2 linked regions of the Lepisosteus oculatus genome follow. The protein of the gene in region 2 purifies or fractionates together with the protein of the main gene of each other region. This does not show direct contact. Links are inferred from orthologs where the notes say so. Each region holds a gene or a part of one and is shown on either strand. Other genes may lie near its edges.

Region 1 (7,898 bases), on a different chromosome or scaffold from region 2:
GAAGATGAAGACATTGAACTAGTTTTAAATATCTTTATGCTGGCACTATAAAATACAAATAGGTGTTAATATGTCCAATTAACATTCTTCAATAAATACTTTACACGCTTCTTTCAGACTCTGTATGAAATGTTCTGTTACACAGTGCTATCTGTAATTCATTTCCGGCACCAGTGTTCAAGAAAGCAGATTCCTTAACTCTTCATTTGCTTACAGTCCAGCTGCATTGACTCCAGTTATACATAATTGCAGGTTAAATGAGAAAAGTTAACCATTTACCTAGTAGAATAGTTTTTCCAACAACGTTTGATCTGACTCAGTTTTGGAATACAATTAGTGAATGTTGCAACATAAAATATAAGCAGCCAAAAGCCTCAGAAAACAAGCTGAAGACAGGAGAAAATCATAATGCGTCCTAAAGTTGACATGAGACGCCAAATCTAGCACTAAGCGACGGCTTGGTATTTGAAATTTGTTTTCAAACAGAACAGTTAGGTTGTACAGAGGATATAAATAAATGTTTTGAACATTTTTTGTTCTATTTTTTGATTGTAACAGAAGCAGATCTAAAACTCAGGGATCTGATGTACATAAACAAATAATATTTCTGTTTATAAAATATTTCTGTGGGGCGGAGTGGTGGCTCTGTGGCTCAGGATCTGCGCCTGTGGCTGGAAGGTTGCTGGTTCAAATCCCACGGCCAGCAGAGGAATCCTATGTTGGGCCCCTGAGCAAGGCCCTTAACCCCAACTGCTCCAGGGGCGCTGTACAATGGCTGACCCTGCGCTCTGAACCCAAGCTTCTCTCCCTGTCTGTGTGTCTCGTGGAGAGCAAACTGGGGTATGCAAAAAGATGAATTCTTAATGCAAGAAACTGTACATGGCTAACAAAGTGATTTTATCTGATCTATATGTAATTTAAATTTCATTGCTTTACTTTCTCCATTACCTTCATTCATTAAAATATTTTCTGCTCCAGCTTCTTGCTTTTCAAAGAATAAAACGTTAAAGGAAAGGTATAAAAAACATTGTATCCTACAGATCTTTAAGCAGCTGCTGTATATAGTAAGTGCAGACAGAGCTGAAAATTCTTTAATACTACTTTACGCATAATCGTGTTCAGTTCTATTAACTCAAAATCAAGCCAAATATAAAAAGTATTTGTGTTCACTTCATATGCAAATATTAAAGATCTGTCTCAGTTTGAGATTTACCAATGCATAAAGCTATAACACGGTCATCAGAAATGGGGAAGTACTGTCCAATATTCTCATGGAAAATGGCCGCCTGGCTCACTCACTGTAACCAATGCAGCAGAACAAAACTTAGAACAGTTACCATACTGGAGCAACACAGCCCAGGACGACCGGTTGGTTCTGTGCTCCTTCCACCCTGAGGCTGCTAGCCACAATGGCAGAAAAGACAATAAACCTACTGCATTTGGGTTTAAACATCCCCCTAGCAAACTCCTGCTTACTCTTTTAGAACTGTTCACACACCTTACCTGCCTCCCACTCCTGTCTGGGCCAGGGCTCATCCTTCAAAGGGCACAGTTTGCTCGCGGTCTGGCTGCTGTACTCCTCGGGTATCACTCTTCGCAGGAACTTGTTATTTTCATCGGAAAGGTGCTCATCCCACCAGGTTGTACTCTTGATGGTGCCAACAAACCGTACGCACAGAGGGCTACAAACACAAAAAATAAAGTAAATCCTCATGTATTTTTAAATCTGTAGATTTATTAACCTTCATTTATGCTGATAGGCTGTCCTAGAAAGAAACATACGTTCAACACAACCCTCAGATAAGACTGCTTCTTCTATATATTTATTCAATTTTAATCTTCTCTGAAGGTGGATACTGAAAAGGAGAAGCACCCTTTTTGGGTAAGAGAAAATAGAACGATCCAAAACATTTTAGTGAAAAAAGCTGAAAATAAAGAATTAACTTTAAATTATATTGATAGTAACTGATGTAAAAAGGCAATTCATTAACAGGATTTTTCTTGGTCATCCAAGAGATGGTCTAGCTGACTAGCAGCAAAATCTTTTGTAAAAACTATGAGACTATCATTTTACCTTAAGCTAAGCAAAACTCATCCACATTTGTGTAAAAGAAAAAAATCAGAATAAACTTTACTTTTAACTTAGTATGGCCTTAAATTTTGGGTGATGAATAGTTCTGCTTCAGTCAATGGCCGATTCTAAATCTGTCGCCTATTAAAGCTTGCCCGTCGTTCTTTTTTAATCTTCCTTTATAATTATTTCGCTAATTCCTGCATCCCGTATTCAGACTCGAGTCTAAATCTAAACTTACAGTTCACAGCGTCTGGAGGACCACTTGAAATCCACCAGCACGCGTGGATATCGTGTTCATATACTGCGCTTGCGTGTCTGCTTTCAAATCACACCTGAAGAAGGCTCCAAGGTCGAAACTTTCTTCTCTTTTCAACATAGAATAAACATATTACTTGTTCCTTTTCATTTAAACTATTACTCAAAAGGCTTATTCATCCCGAATTACTGTATAACTGTATTTCAGTTGTCACAGAACTGCATCGCCTCTCAAAGAACTGCAAGAAAACAGTACAGTGTATGTGCATCACTGCTTAACTACAGCTTAATTCACGCACCTGCAATCACTATGAAGTTACACAAATAGACAAGCTGTCGAAACTTATCTTAGTATAAAGACGATACAAATATAAATACAGACGATATACATAACGTAACTGTTCATATACACATTTTGTATTTTATATCGTACTCATATGACTTAGAATGAACTCAAACAGATAACAAAATCATTTACATACCTTTCAGCTCCCTTTAACAGTGGGTCTCTTAATCCCCACCTTAAAAACCTGCAGCTCCACGCTGCCATTATAGCAATTAAACTTTTAATTCAGTTGGTATATTTATTGTCGTCCGAATCTGATGTTAATTTTCGGCATGTATCCACACTCAGGCTTTCACGCTTGTACCGAATGTCACCCTAGGTCTTCCGGGTACGCTTCAGAAATACGTCCGTGCTGCTGAGTTAGGCTGAGAAAGCAGTTCCGGAGGTTAACCTGCAATATAGGGTACACAGTTCACGGTCTAACGCGAGTATCCATTCTTTCCCATTGTTTGGAAGCTTAGGAAATCGTAGTTGCACATAACAGCATTACAGATCTGTTTTAATTTAAAATACGTTATATTTAATTTAATTAATTTAAAATATTTATATACGGAAATTATAATTGTATATTGCATGGCTCGATTTTTTATCCTAACGTCGCCCTGAAGCGCTATACACATCCTGATGAAGGAGGAGTAACACTTTCATTGTATACAATAAAACTTCACAGGTTGTGACTGTATAGACTGTTTTCATAAGTGTCTCGGCAAGACAAAATGCCAGCTCTGACAAATCTATAATTTTACACAGGGTGCAAGATTCAGAAGTAATCCTATGAGTGTGTTTACTTAATTCTACGAATTTACTACAGTATATGCCATTGAATAAAGGTTACAGTTTGAAGTAAATTTAATTCTCATTCCACACAGACTACTTTAATGAAGTACTTAATGAAGATAATGGTGTTATTCCTTTAACAACTTTCTCAGTTTATGATAAATAAGCACATGCAGCACACAATGAAAGTTTACATACTGTAATTTTAATTCCAAAACACTAATCTGGTGAATTATGGCATCTATACAGTATATAGATATAGGTATATTCAATTATATACAGTATAAAAAAATATAGGGGATATTCTATATCTAGCATTGAATACTTAGATTAAGCAATATGACAAGTGTGATTTGGTTAATATTATCAATCTCATCGGAAATAACAAAACAGATAACTCATATTTGTGACATTACTGTGGATAAAAAGCCACAAATCTGTTTCCACATAATAATACTAATACATCTGGTTAGTTCTCTTGAACAAAATCAATTTCAGATTAAACATTTCTCTTAGGCCAGCAATTGAGCTACAGAAATTTCAATCTCTTAAAAAAGATAAATGTTGTTTTTGACTAACATAAATACCAGCAGATATTTTTATCAGCCAAAAACATATCTCAGGAAATATAATTAGTATTTACTGTAATAAAAGCTACAACAAAATAGTTATTTCCTATATACGATATTTAGAATCAATATTTAGAATCTGCAATATTAAGTTTGAAACAAGCATCATCACCAACATTTTGTATAACTAAAGAAATGAAATATGAGTGCAGGATAGGAATGAATTCCCAAATCTAGAATAAAGGGTCCTTGATTTTTTCATCTGTGAATATTTATCCCAATATTGTTCCATTTTAATAATATATGGAGTTCAATATGAAATGTTTTTTTATATTCTGTTGTACAGCTTTGACTTAATGATACAAATTCGTATGTGCTACTGCTTTTAAACAAAGGCTCCTACAGAATTACCTTTTCTCTTAACTATATTAAATGTTGTTTTCTTTGGATAAATGTACATTAAATGTCTCTTAGAAATAAAAAAGAAAATCATTAGTTCTTGACACTATTCGGAGAGGAAAGGTTTCTAATGGATAGGAAAAGAGCTTCCTGCAAGTACAGGGTTTGTATTATCTAATGGGTGACATGAAAATTAATCACTCCGTGTTCTAGTCTGGATCTAAGTCAAAATAATAGCAAAAAGATATTCACCACTTTCTGATTAGATTAAGAAAAATCGTTGAACTAAAAAGGAAAAATTATTGAGGAAAAATTCAATAAGTATATTTTTTGTCTTTGCTGTTCAGTGCAGTAGCCCAGTAGATGCATTTAAAAGCTGAGAGATGTTTAAAATTCTGTGTTCTGAATGTCATTGTAGATAGTGTAACTCAAAGTAATGTTTATTTATATTTGTGCTGAACAGCTCTAATAACAATCAGCAAAACATAATCACTTTAAATAGAAGCTCAAAGCTGGGTAATTAAGACATCAGCTACATTCATTTTGTTAAATGAGGGATATCAACAAAATTAATATATGCAGTTTTTTTATTTGTTTATTAACAAGCACTGGCTTCTGAAATGGAGGTGAATTCCTGTGAGAAAGTTTTCCTTTGTAAGTGGATTCATGTTTAACACCTATCTTTCCACAGAATTGAATGAACGAGAGAGGGTAGATTCTGCTTGTAAAGAAACCCTTTACAATAACTATTTTATACATGAAATTGTCAATTACTCTCTTATTTTATTTTACACATATCATGCCCAGCAAATACTGTAACTTGCCTGTCATATGCAACCTATAAGAGCAAACATGTTTAAGAATATACAAATTTATATTCCATGTCTTTTGAGTATCGGTATTTGTGTGAAATACATTCATACCAAAAATACCCTTACAGGAAGCGCAAGCATAAACTTTCAAGGCACATGAAAACGTATTAATCTTCTCAAAAGCAAATACTACACACACACCACAGTCTGCTGATAATTCACAGCAGTCTTGTCTCATTAAAATATTCCCTCTCTGTTGGTTTAAAAGTTCTTATAGTGATATTATTCCTCCAGACTTTCAAGAGTGTTAAGTTCCCCAGTGTTAAGGGGTCAGTCTTTTTTCTGTAAGGTTTTAAATGCACCTATCTACAGTATTTCTGACTTCTTCTCAGAAAAATTTACATGAATGTGACTTAGTGGGAGCCAAATATTCAGAATATTTGTCAAAATCTTCATTTTATTCAACAAAGGTGTAGGACAGCTGTCAACATTTGCTTCCCGCTTCAATGCACCACTTCTTTTCCCACTGAATAAAACTCTGGTCATATTGTGACAGAAACACGTCAATCAGTTTCACACGAATACTTACACTCAAAGGAAACGCAACTCCCAGGTGAAATGGATTCGAGCAGAAACTTCAAACAAAGATATCAACCAAACGCACAGAAAACGTGATCTAACGTACAGCTCAGAGAATCACCATATGTTTTCATGACGAAACACTATCAGAATGAAAACATTGGAAAGTTAGTATCGATCATGAACTCTCTCGGCATTAACATAATCCTGGTGGCGTTTTCAGTTTGGAAAGACTGCTGTGGGTTGTTCCACCACTCCATATGTGCACCTGCAGAGGGACGACCCGTAACAGCTGTTTTCCATAGATGGGCGTGGTGAGTTGGACCCACAGCTGTTCTATTGGATTCAGGGAGAAAAAGCTGGCCACAGCAAGATCCCAGCAGTGATTTCTTCAAATGTGCCACTATTATCCAAGCACTGAATGGTCTTGCATTGTCATGCTGGAAAATAACTACTGGACTGGAAATGCAGGAATGGAAAAAAACAAACTGTTGCCTAAAGCAATGGCTCCCAATCCTGGCTCTGGAAAAGCACGTGCTGATTGATTTAATTAAGTATTATTTTGGCATATTTGTACATTTACTCTCGACAAATAGGATTGGCAAATGGTATCATCCCTGTACCATCATCTGAGTTTCAGAACTGCCCACAGGTGTCAGGTGTAACCAACTGGACTTCGAGAGAAGGAGAAATATTAGTATCATTCCCACCTTTCTCAAAGAACAGCAAGCAAGTTGAATAAGGTCTGTAGAGTTCTAGCTATGCTCATTTTTCAAGCAGAAAATGCAGTTCTAGAGAACTTCTTTCACACAGTGTTTCAATTACACCAACTCTTGACAGTGTTTAAAATGTCTAATATTTTTGCACACCAATATAAGATCCCAATGAACTCCATGTATACCAAAAGTAAGATCTAAACCTGGACGAGCTCTGACTGTTGCTGTCAGTGCTTAAAATGCACAGTGCAATACAAACATCATGCAGTTTACTAGTGAGGTGTGACTGGCAATCCTAGAATCCTTTGGTGAAAGGTTGCTGTTAAAGAGTAATACATAATATCCTTTCATATTCCCGTAATTCCTATGAAGCATTCAGTCACTGACACAGATCACACAGATGTTATTGATCCTCTTAGGTGACAAGGTTTTTATCATCTAATCTCTAAAATTCCTTATTATCTTTTATGCACTGCAATGTCATGACATTAGTTGCAGTGTTAACTTCATATGCAATGTTGGCCTTCATTTATGCTCTTTGGGGAACATCAAATGATTTCCCTCAGTCTTAAGTCTATAAGCCATATATGTTATCTATACATATGTATATACTGTACTGTATATATTTTGCAATATATTATGTATTTAAGATTTCTTCCCAGCAATTTGTATTTGAATTGACCTGAAATCAATTTGAAGTGAGGACATATACTATTCTGAAGGTTTTTTCATTTATTTCCAAAAACTCGAAGAAACCATGTTACTTAATAATTTCAACCTGAGAACATAGTGCACAGCCTGGGAAATAGGCCCACTAACCTAACCGCTGAGAATTTAGAAACCTTTCTGCATAAAACAGTGGCTCTTGTGTACTTTAACAACATCACTATCAAAAACGTTCAACAATTTGTCACTAAGGTTTCAAACAGTGAAATGACCATGACCTTTCAGCATCAGTGGCCCAGTTATGTCTTGGCTTGATAGAAAACCTGTAGAGTAAGAGTTAACTCTCTGTCACAGCTACCATCCCTCACTTTTTTTATTCATTCAGTTTATCACAGCTGTACAGACTTGCAGACCGATGTTTCTAGCTTCATTAAAAGTGAACCACACAGCCTAAGCTTGTCAACAGAAATCTCCTTTGTGCTCATGTTCAATATCCTCCAGCATACCTTCAGGTTATATGAGTAAGCTAGCTTGTATTGATTCTACAGAACAAAATCTAACAACACTCACATTTTTTGAGTAGGTGGATCATAGACAGCATGTTTTGCATCTGAATTTGGGGAATAATTTACAATGGATCACTCAGAACACTATGCCTCACTCCCTTAACATCATCAGCTCTAAACGTGCCCGGGCAAACCCATC
Region 2 (7,207 bases):
CTAAATTAACAGGCTTATGGTTTGCTAAACCCCAGCAAGTAAACAGGAGCAGGACACTGACTAATAAATCTACAGCTGTACAAGCAAATAACCTGGCTAATAGGATTGAGCACGATATCAGACCCACAGGTCACATCCATGTCCTAAACAAGGCGAGAGAGCTTAAATTACCTGTTGATGAAACCGTAGCCGTTCCTCACGTTAAACCACTTCACTGTTCCCAACACCTTTGTTGCTGGAAAACAAACAAGTCTTACATCTTCATATACCCAGAGAGCAGTCAGGCAATTATTAACTTACAAATTCCAGACACCAGAATTATCAGAAAACAAAGAAAACCACATTATAATGTCTCATAGCAGACTTTCACTCTGATGGGTTCTTTTGTATTTAACGTATTCTACAGTAAAATGTAATTGTAGAGCCTTAATTTCACCATGCACTGATGCTTTACCATCATTCTCTCTCTACACACAGGAGTCTAACTGTAGGCAGTACACCCTTGCTTGTCACGTTCCTGTCATTTACACATCTCTGCAAAACTACAGCTCTATATCACACTTCAGCCCAGAGGCTCTTAGAGTCTCTTTTGACAAAAAACAGGTTAAATATTTAAATTCTCTCCACACCTCTGTAACTTTAAGCATTATTCAAATCATGTGTCACTTAAAAATCTGCTTTAAGTATATACAGTAATAATGAACAGCAGAGGTTTTGTCTAAAAAAAAAATGTAGTCCTTAAAATTGGAACCGATTTGCTTTCCGTATTTAACAACTTATGAACTATATTCTAGTCACTCCTTGGACTTTACTGTAACATCACTCTCATTAAAATCTGACCATGTAAGCACTAGGAGAAAAGGTTTACTAGGAAAAGTGGAAACATAAAATGAGGACCTAACGCTCAGAACCGGGACCTACAGCTATTGTCTGGTTAATTGGCCGAATTCAGAGAAACTCAGAACTAGGAGCATGGAGTGCTGCGACTATTGAGTGGGGTAGGGCTTGTAAAACTATCTGGACACTATATTTAACCACATGGTGACAAGCTTTTTATAGATTATGATGCAAAGCCTAGCTGTCCATTGCAAAACTAACTACTTCAGCAGTATGATGAACTCGTGTCCAAAATACATTCACCAACCCCGCTGATTGGATCAGAACATAATTTCGGGCGAAAGAACTTCTACTGGCTATACAGGGGTATACGACGTGGCCCGGCCATGCTTCAACAGTCTGCTGCTACAAAGAACCAATCGTAACCTCGGCTCTTTCCTGTAACAAGAATGATTCACTGTAACGATATAAGGAAGTGTCAGAATGCTTCACACGTGGTCTCCTGCACTCTCCCCACACGGACGCGAAACTAAATACAGTATCGATAAATCAATCATTCAAGCGGCCGTCCATCGCCAGTCAAACTTCCATTATTCCCAGTACAACGGACGCGCAGGGGATTACGATTGTACTGGTCTCCGCCTGTTACAGCGCGAAACTTCCATATTTCCCAGCCCGACGCGCTACCATGTGGCTGGACGGACGCCCACAATCCGCGCCAAACCGACGGCGATTTCCACGGCAGGGCCGCCGATTAATCGCCCCCCCCCCACCCTAAACTACGGGGAACGGGGATCGGCCGCAGTCCGGTCCTCCTGGTCACGCCGCCCGCCTCCCCAGCACCCACACGCCAGGAAAAAAAAAACATCGCCTCCCTCAGACAAAAGAAATCCCTCTCGTATCCAAACACCGCGGCGGACATTTTGGATTTTTTCCCCCCTCGCCAAGTTTCCACACAGCCGCTAGTATAATCCGAGGAGGGGGGGAACGCGACGCCTCTTTTGTAAGCCGTCAAGCGGCATTTTCGTCGGGAAAGACGGCTTTGCCGATTTATGAAGCGGCTGCACACCCTCGGCCCGTACACGACGCTCAAGTTACTACACCGCACTGTAATGAACAAAGGGTGTGTGTGTGTGTGGAGGAGCAGTGAGGAAGGGGGAGTCTTCACACCGGCCCTCCCGCAGCCCGGCACTCGCGTTACCCGCGGGCCGGGGACTGCAGGCCGGCCCCGGCGGGCTCCGTGCGGAAGGGCCCGCGGGAGAACGCGACCTGACCCACTTACGGGAGGCGGGCGGCCAGTATCGCCCCGGCTGCCCCGGGGAGGTGAAGAGCAAGGCCAAGTTCGCCTGCGTCGCTCCCCCCTTCTCCCCCACACGCACAGACCCTGCAAGGCGGCCGGATCGCCATGTGTCCCCTGGGCCCGGCCCAGTCCAAACCCACACCTAGAAACCCCCACCCCCAGGAGGGGAGGAATTGGGATGCGTGGGCAAGTAGTGTGTGTTTGTGAGTAAGGGGGGGGGGGTGTCTTTCCGATCACTATCCCAAACCCACCAGCGGAATCCACAAACCCACCCCGGCGCTTCCGGCCCGATCCCACCCACCGGCTCCGCTCCGCCGGGCTCCCCGCACGCGCCGGGGCTCGAGAGCGCAGCCCGCTCCCGTCACCACGGCGACGGGACGAGAACCGTTGCTGCCCCGGACCCGCTCGAGGCCGCCCGCTCGTTATTTTTTCCAAATTATTTTTTTTCGCCCCCCCGCCCCCCCCTCAACCATCAACGCTCAACCGACTTTTCTCACACAAAGAAACCCCGGAGCCCGACACACCGCACGCCGGAGAAAAAAAGTCACCTCTCCAACCCTCAACCTCGGCGTCGCGTCCCCAGTTCAAATCACGTAACAACACGGGAAAAGAAAAAAATACGAGAGACCGGGGGGCTCACCGATGACCTTCTTATCCCCCGCGGTAGCTGCGGCTGCCGGGCTGGACGGGCTCTCCGCGGCGGCGGGCTGCTGCGGCTGCTGCTGTGTTTCGGCCTCGTTGCTCATGGTGGTTTCGGTGGGTTACGTTACACTTGTGCCGGCGGTGGCTCTCTAGCGTGTTTTCCCGGTGCGTGATGGTAACCTGGGCCGGCGGTGGTGGGGCTGCTGCCTTCGGGCTCTCAGCGTTCCTTTCTCCGCTCCCGTTGCCGATCGAACTGGACGGAAAGCGAGCCGATACCTGACAATATTGTCAGAGGCGCGACCGCCCATTCTCTGATTCTATTGGTCAGAACCCCTGTCCGTCTTGGGCCGGTGCTCTTTTCCGTCGCTCCTATTGGTGCGCGGCGCCGTCCGTTTCACCAAAACCTCCGCGGCGGTGAATTGGATTGCGACTCCACAGAGCGGCATAAAAACCCGCCTACTCGGTATTCTGCGAGTGCTTGGTTGTGATTGGACAACAACGCGTCAATCTAACCCAGCTGTACGCATTTCTAGCTCTGATTGGAAGACCGAAGTGTCACTCAACTGCATAGTTTTTAGAAGGGGCCGCGCTCAATCCAATCAAACACTCCCCTTTTCTCCGGAGTAGATTGTGAATCAGTGGCGCTGGTTGGGCAGATAATGTCAAGGATGCCGCCCACGATGCTAGGGATTGGCAAAATGTTACAGTTAATATAAATCACGCCCACTTTATCTTTCGTGATAGGAATATTTACGCATTGCCCTGCGCCTGTAACATTGTCAGTGTTTGACAGTACAAGGAACATCGGACCAGACATCTGATCAACATGCACGGAGAGGGTTAAACTGCTCTCGAACTACTGATGCAAACATTAGCGTGAAGTTTACAGATGTAGGTCAGGATTGCCTGTAATCAGTACCCTAGACCTTAAAGCCCTCAAAAACAAGTTCATTCGTTTTATTCGTAGTTTATTCGTTTACATTAGATTAAGAATCTGAAAATCTGTTTAACTGTGTACCGCAGTGTAAATTAATCCTAGTTCTATTCTTTTAAATTTCGCCTTTAAACAAGTAAAAACATTTTCCATACTTCGTTCAATACTGTCTTGGTGCAATGGGCAATTATAACCCCTAAAAGGCAAGACCCTAGATTATAAACTTCTCCCATCCGAATCAGTCTTATTGCGACTCATCCCTGTCTGGAATTAAAATTAAAATTGAATGAGTTGAGTAGATTCATTGATTAGATACTGTATATCAAAAAATGAATCCCGTAGCTGCCTTTAATTCTAAGCATTGATATTATAATTATTTTTGCATACAATACGATATTCTTCATAACTAAAAAAAAAGAACATTATATAAAGTAATGAGAATCCGTTATTGTGAACATTAGCACTTTTAAAAACAGTTACGATTACATATCTCAAGAGTCAGGATCTTGAAGTACATTTTGTTGAATGAAGATAATTTAAACTTGTATATAGGTTTTTTCTTTTTATTTAGGCCCCATTTTTCTTATATATTGATGCATTATAAGGCCTTAAATGTCTCCATTTTTGTTGTTTGTAAAGTGCTTTGAGCTGGTCCTCACCACAAAAAGACTTCCACAAAACCAGAGTGGGTTTTTTTAAATGTCAGAAGGACACCAGGAAAATCCTAAACCCCATATTAAATTGCTTGTCTGTTAGCATAATGCAGTAAACCGATCCAGCAGTTAAGTTAATTACTGTTAATTATATTCTGTGGGATTGTCACAGTTATCTAGGCCTCTACGGTGCCCTGTAGGAGACCTTCAGAAAACCCTCCACTGACGTCTGATTCAATCACAAACCCTGTCACACAAACTCTTCTGACCACAGAAGAATGATATCAGGACACTGTGCTGGGAGCCTTTAAGGACACTGATAAAATTAAGACCAGTGTCCTTATGAGGAATAACTAGGAGCAGGGTCTGTCCCCTCAGAATGTTATCCAGAGATATCAGGATACCATTTCAATTATTAATTTTTCAACTGATTTATCCACTGGGATCTATGAAATAACAGGTAACAGGACATTCTCAGAAATACAGGTTTGGGACAGCAGTATGGAGCAGTGGTTGTTGACTTGTAAACAGAAGGTGGTGATTTTCCATCCCAGACAAGACACTGCTGTTGTACCCTAGAGTAAAGCTCTTCTCCCTGACTGCTGCAGTAACATACTGTACCATGTGCAAATGCCTTCTATCAAAGATCAGGAAAGCCTGGAGCTGTGGACTTATATAAAGCTTTTCTGGACACTCTACTCAAAGTGCTTTACAGGTAATGGGGACCTGTACAAATTCATCAGACACCTCTCCTACAGGAATCCCATCTGCATTTCACCAATCATTCCAAAACCCTAGAACTGCACAAAACCACTAATTGCACTTGCCCATAAACCAGTACTCTACAGAAATCACTGTGAACTAATTTACTTAGTGGTTTGATTGGGTGTAGGATAAAGGAATTCCTCATCTTTCTAAGATCTGCATCGGGGGACTTTAAAACGACTGCAGGAAGGCATCAGTAGATTTTCTTCCTGCAGAACACAGAGGGAGATACTAACAGCGCACTGTTAATGCATGCAGTTTTATAAGCTCTGCTCAAGTACCTGCCCACTATCTTAGAACACATCTTCAGAGTTTGGACATCTTAACTTACTTGTTGCACAGAGAACATCTGTTATACTAGAGAGCTATTCCACACTGCATGACATTCTGTACCACAGAACTGAAAATGCATTGACAAAACCTGACTACTGGTACCAACAGCCCATAACCTGTGAAGAAAGTCAACTTGCGGTCAACATGTGCCTTCCAAGACAGAGTAGCTTCTGTGTATATTCCCAGCGCATCATAGGATGTACACTAGGTTGCTTAATAGACTCATTAGGAGTTGTGACTGGGGAAGGATATTCATCCTGTTCGAGACCGAAGACAATTTATTCTGTTTTTCTAGTATTCACAATCAAGGCTTTCTGGTCACTTCAAGCAACCAAACCATTGAGGAAGAATTTGAGCATTTGCCTTTTTATTAAGTATATAAAATAGTGACTATTTGTATTAGCTCATATGCTTTGTGCTTAGCAACAGTATAAAAGGATAATTCAAGCATATTATTTGACCTTTTGACTTTAATATTACAACCGCAAAGCGTCTAGCTCAGTTTCACACCTTCTGTTTTTGTTTGTAGAGAGAAAAAACATCTCCTAATATGGAAACTTAGAGTGAGCTTTCCTGTGTGAATCTGCTGTATAAAACTTATTGCATTTACCTCCTTCTTTGGAAGAAAGTGTAATTCCATCTGTCCTGCAGAGGAAATCAGGTACTGGGGGGCGTTGATAGGGTTCAGTGAAGCACATCTGTTCACGTTAAGTGCTGGGTTTTTAGAACTCAAAGACGAGCACACCAATTTAAACACTCGTGCACAGTTGTGATCAAAGGTTTGGGCACCCCTGGTCAACTGGCACGTTTCACTGAATCGCCAAGTGAAAAGAAGTGAACGCAGTCTCGGGAGGATTCAAATTTAAACATGATATATTTCTCCACATTTGAATGCACAATTACTTTTTTATTTGCTGAAACGAACAGATTGCAAAAGAAATTAGTGAATGTTGCACGTGCACAAGTTTGGGTCTTAGTCAGGACTTGGTAATCACAGCTTCCAAACATTTGGCACAAAAACCACGTGGCAATGCAAGCTCATAGGCTTCAGGAGCTATTGTCCAAATGTTATTTCTGGGGTCATTACAACCACTACAGGGTGTTAGTGCAACAGTGTTCATGTCTGGGAGTTTGTACCATTCCGCCATCTTTAGAATGTGCAGCAAAAAATCCTCAAAGCCTCCCGAGAACATCGCCACAATGTTCAAGTCTGAAGTGTTTGGATGTCTGATATAATCTGCACCCTCCCGTTGTGTGGTTACCTTGTAAAATACTGCTAAAACCTTTGGCCTAATCTAACCAAGCCACAGCCTTCCAGAGGAGGCTGTTATGATGTTTCGGGGTGGCTTGGCTGTGCTGGTGCATGATCGTTATTGGCTTGTAATGGAATGCTTGGCAATAAGTGCATTAAAGCCATCAGGATCGGATGCTGGGGAATGCAATGTGAGAAGCAAGCCGCAGGCCGTCCCTATCAAACAACACTCTCATTACGCCCTATTCACATTTGCTCCAAGACTCCACTGCTCACCAGCACATATAAAACCAATTAGAATTGGCAACAGAGCCTCAGCTAGAATTGTTAGATTTTATAACCACTTTATACAATACAATATATGTGGACTTCCACATTTCCCATTGGCCTTTACCTTTCATGGCCTCCTAATAATCCCCATCTCTGAACTCCTCCCCACTGATAGCAGGTGTGTGGGGAGTGTAATGGCGCACTATGGCTGCTGTTGCATC

The links.
Region 1: the proteins of ybx1 (region 2) and mrpl3 purify together in Homo sapiens (affinity purification with mass spectrometry; 3 studies listed by BioGRID and IntAct, with this or other methods). This does not show direct contact. The link is inferred for Lepisosteus oculatus from reciprocal best matches to the Homo sapiens genes YBX1 and MRPL3.

What each region holds. Positions count from the first base shown.
Region 1 is NC_090705.1:42,135,209-42,143,106, forward strand, and holds the start of mrpl3 (large ribosomal subunit protein uL3m), read right to left. Parts: upstream 3,016-7,898; 5' UTR 2,880-3,015; coding exon 2,812-2,879; intron 1,683-2,811; coding exon 1,504-1,682; intron 1-1,503.
Region 2 is NC_090720.1:9,798,827-9,806,033, forward strand, and holds the start of ybx1 (Y-box-binding protein 1), read right to left. Parts: upstream 3,008-7,207; 5' UTR 2,884-3,007; coding exon 2,778-2,883; intron 236-2,777; coding exon 172-235; intron 1-171. UniProt on the Homo sapiens protein: DNA- and RNA-binding protein involved in various processes, such as translational repression, RNA stabilization, mRNA splicing, DNA repair and transcription regulation.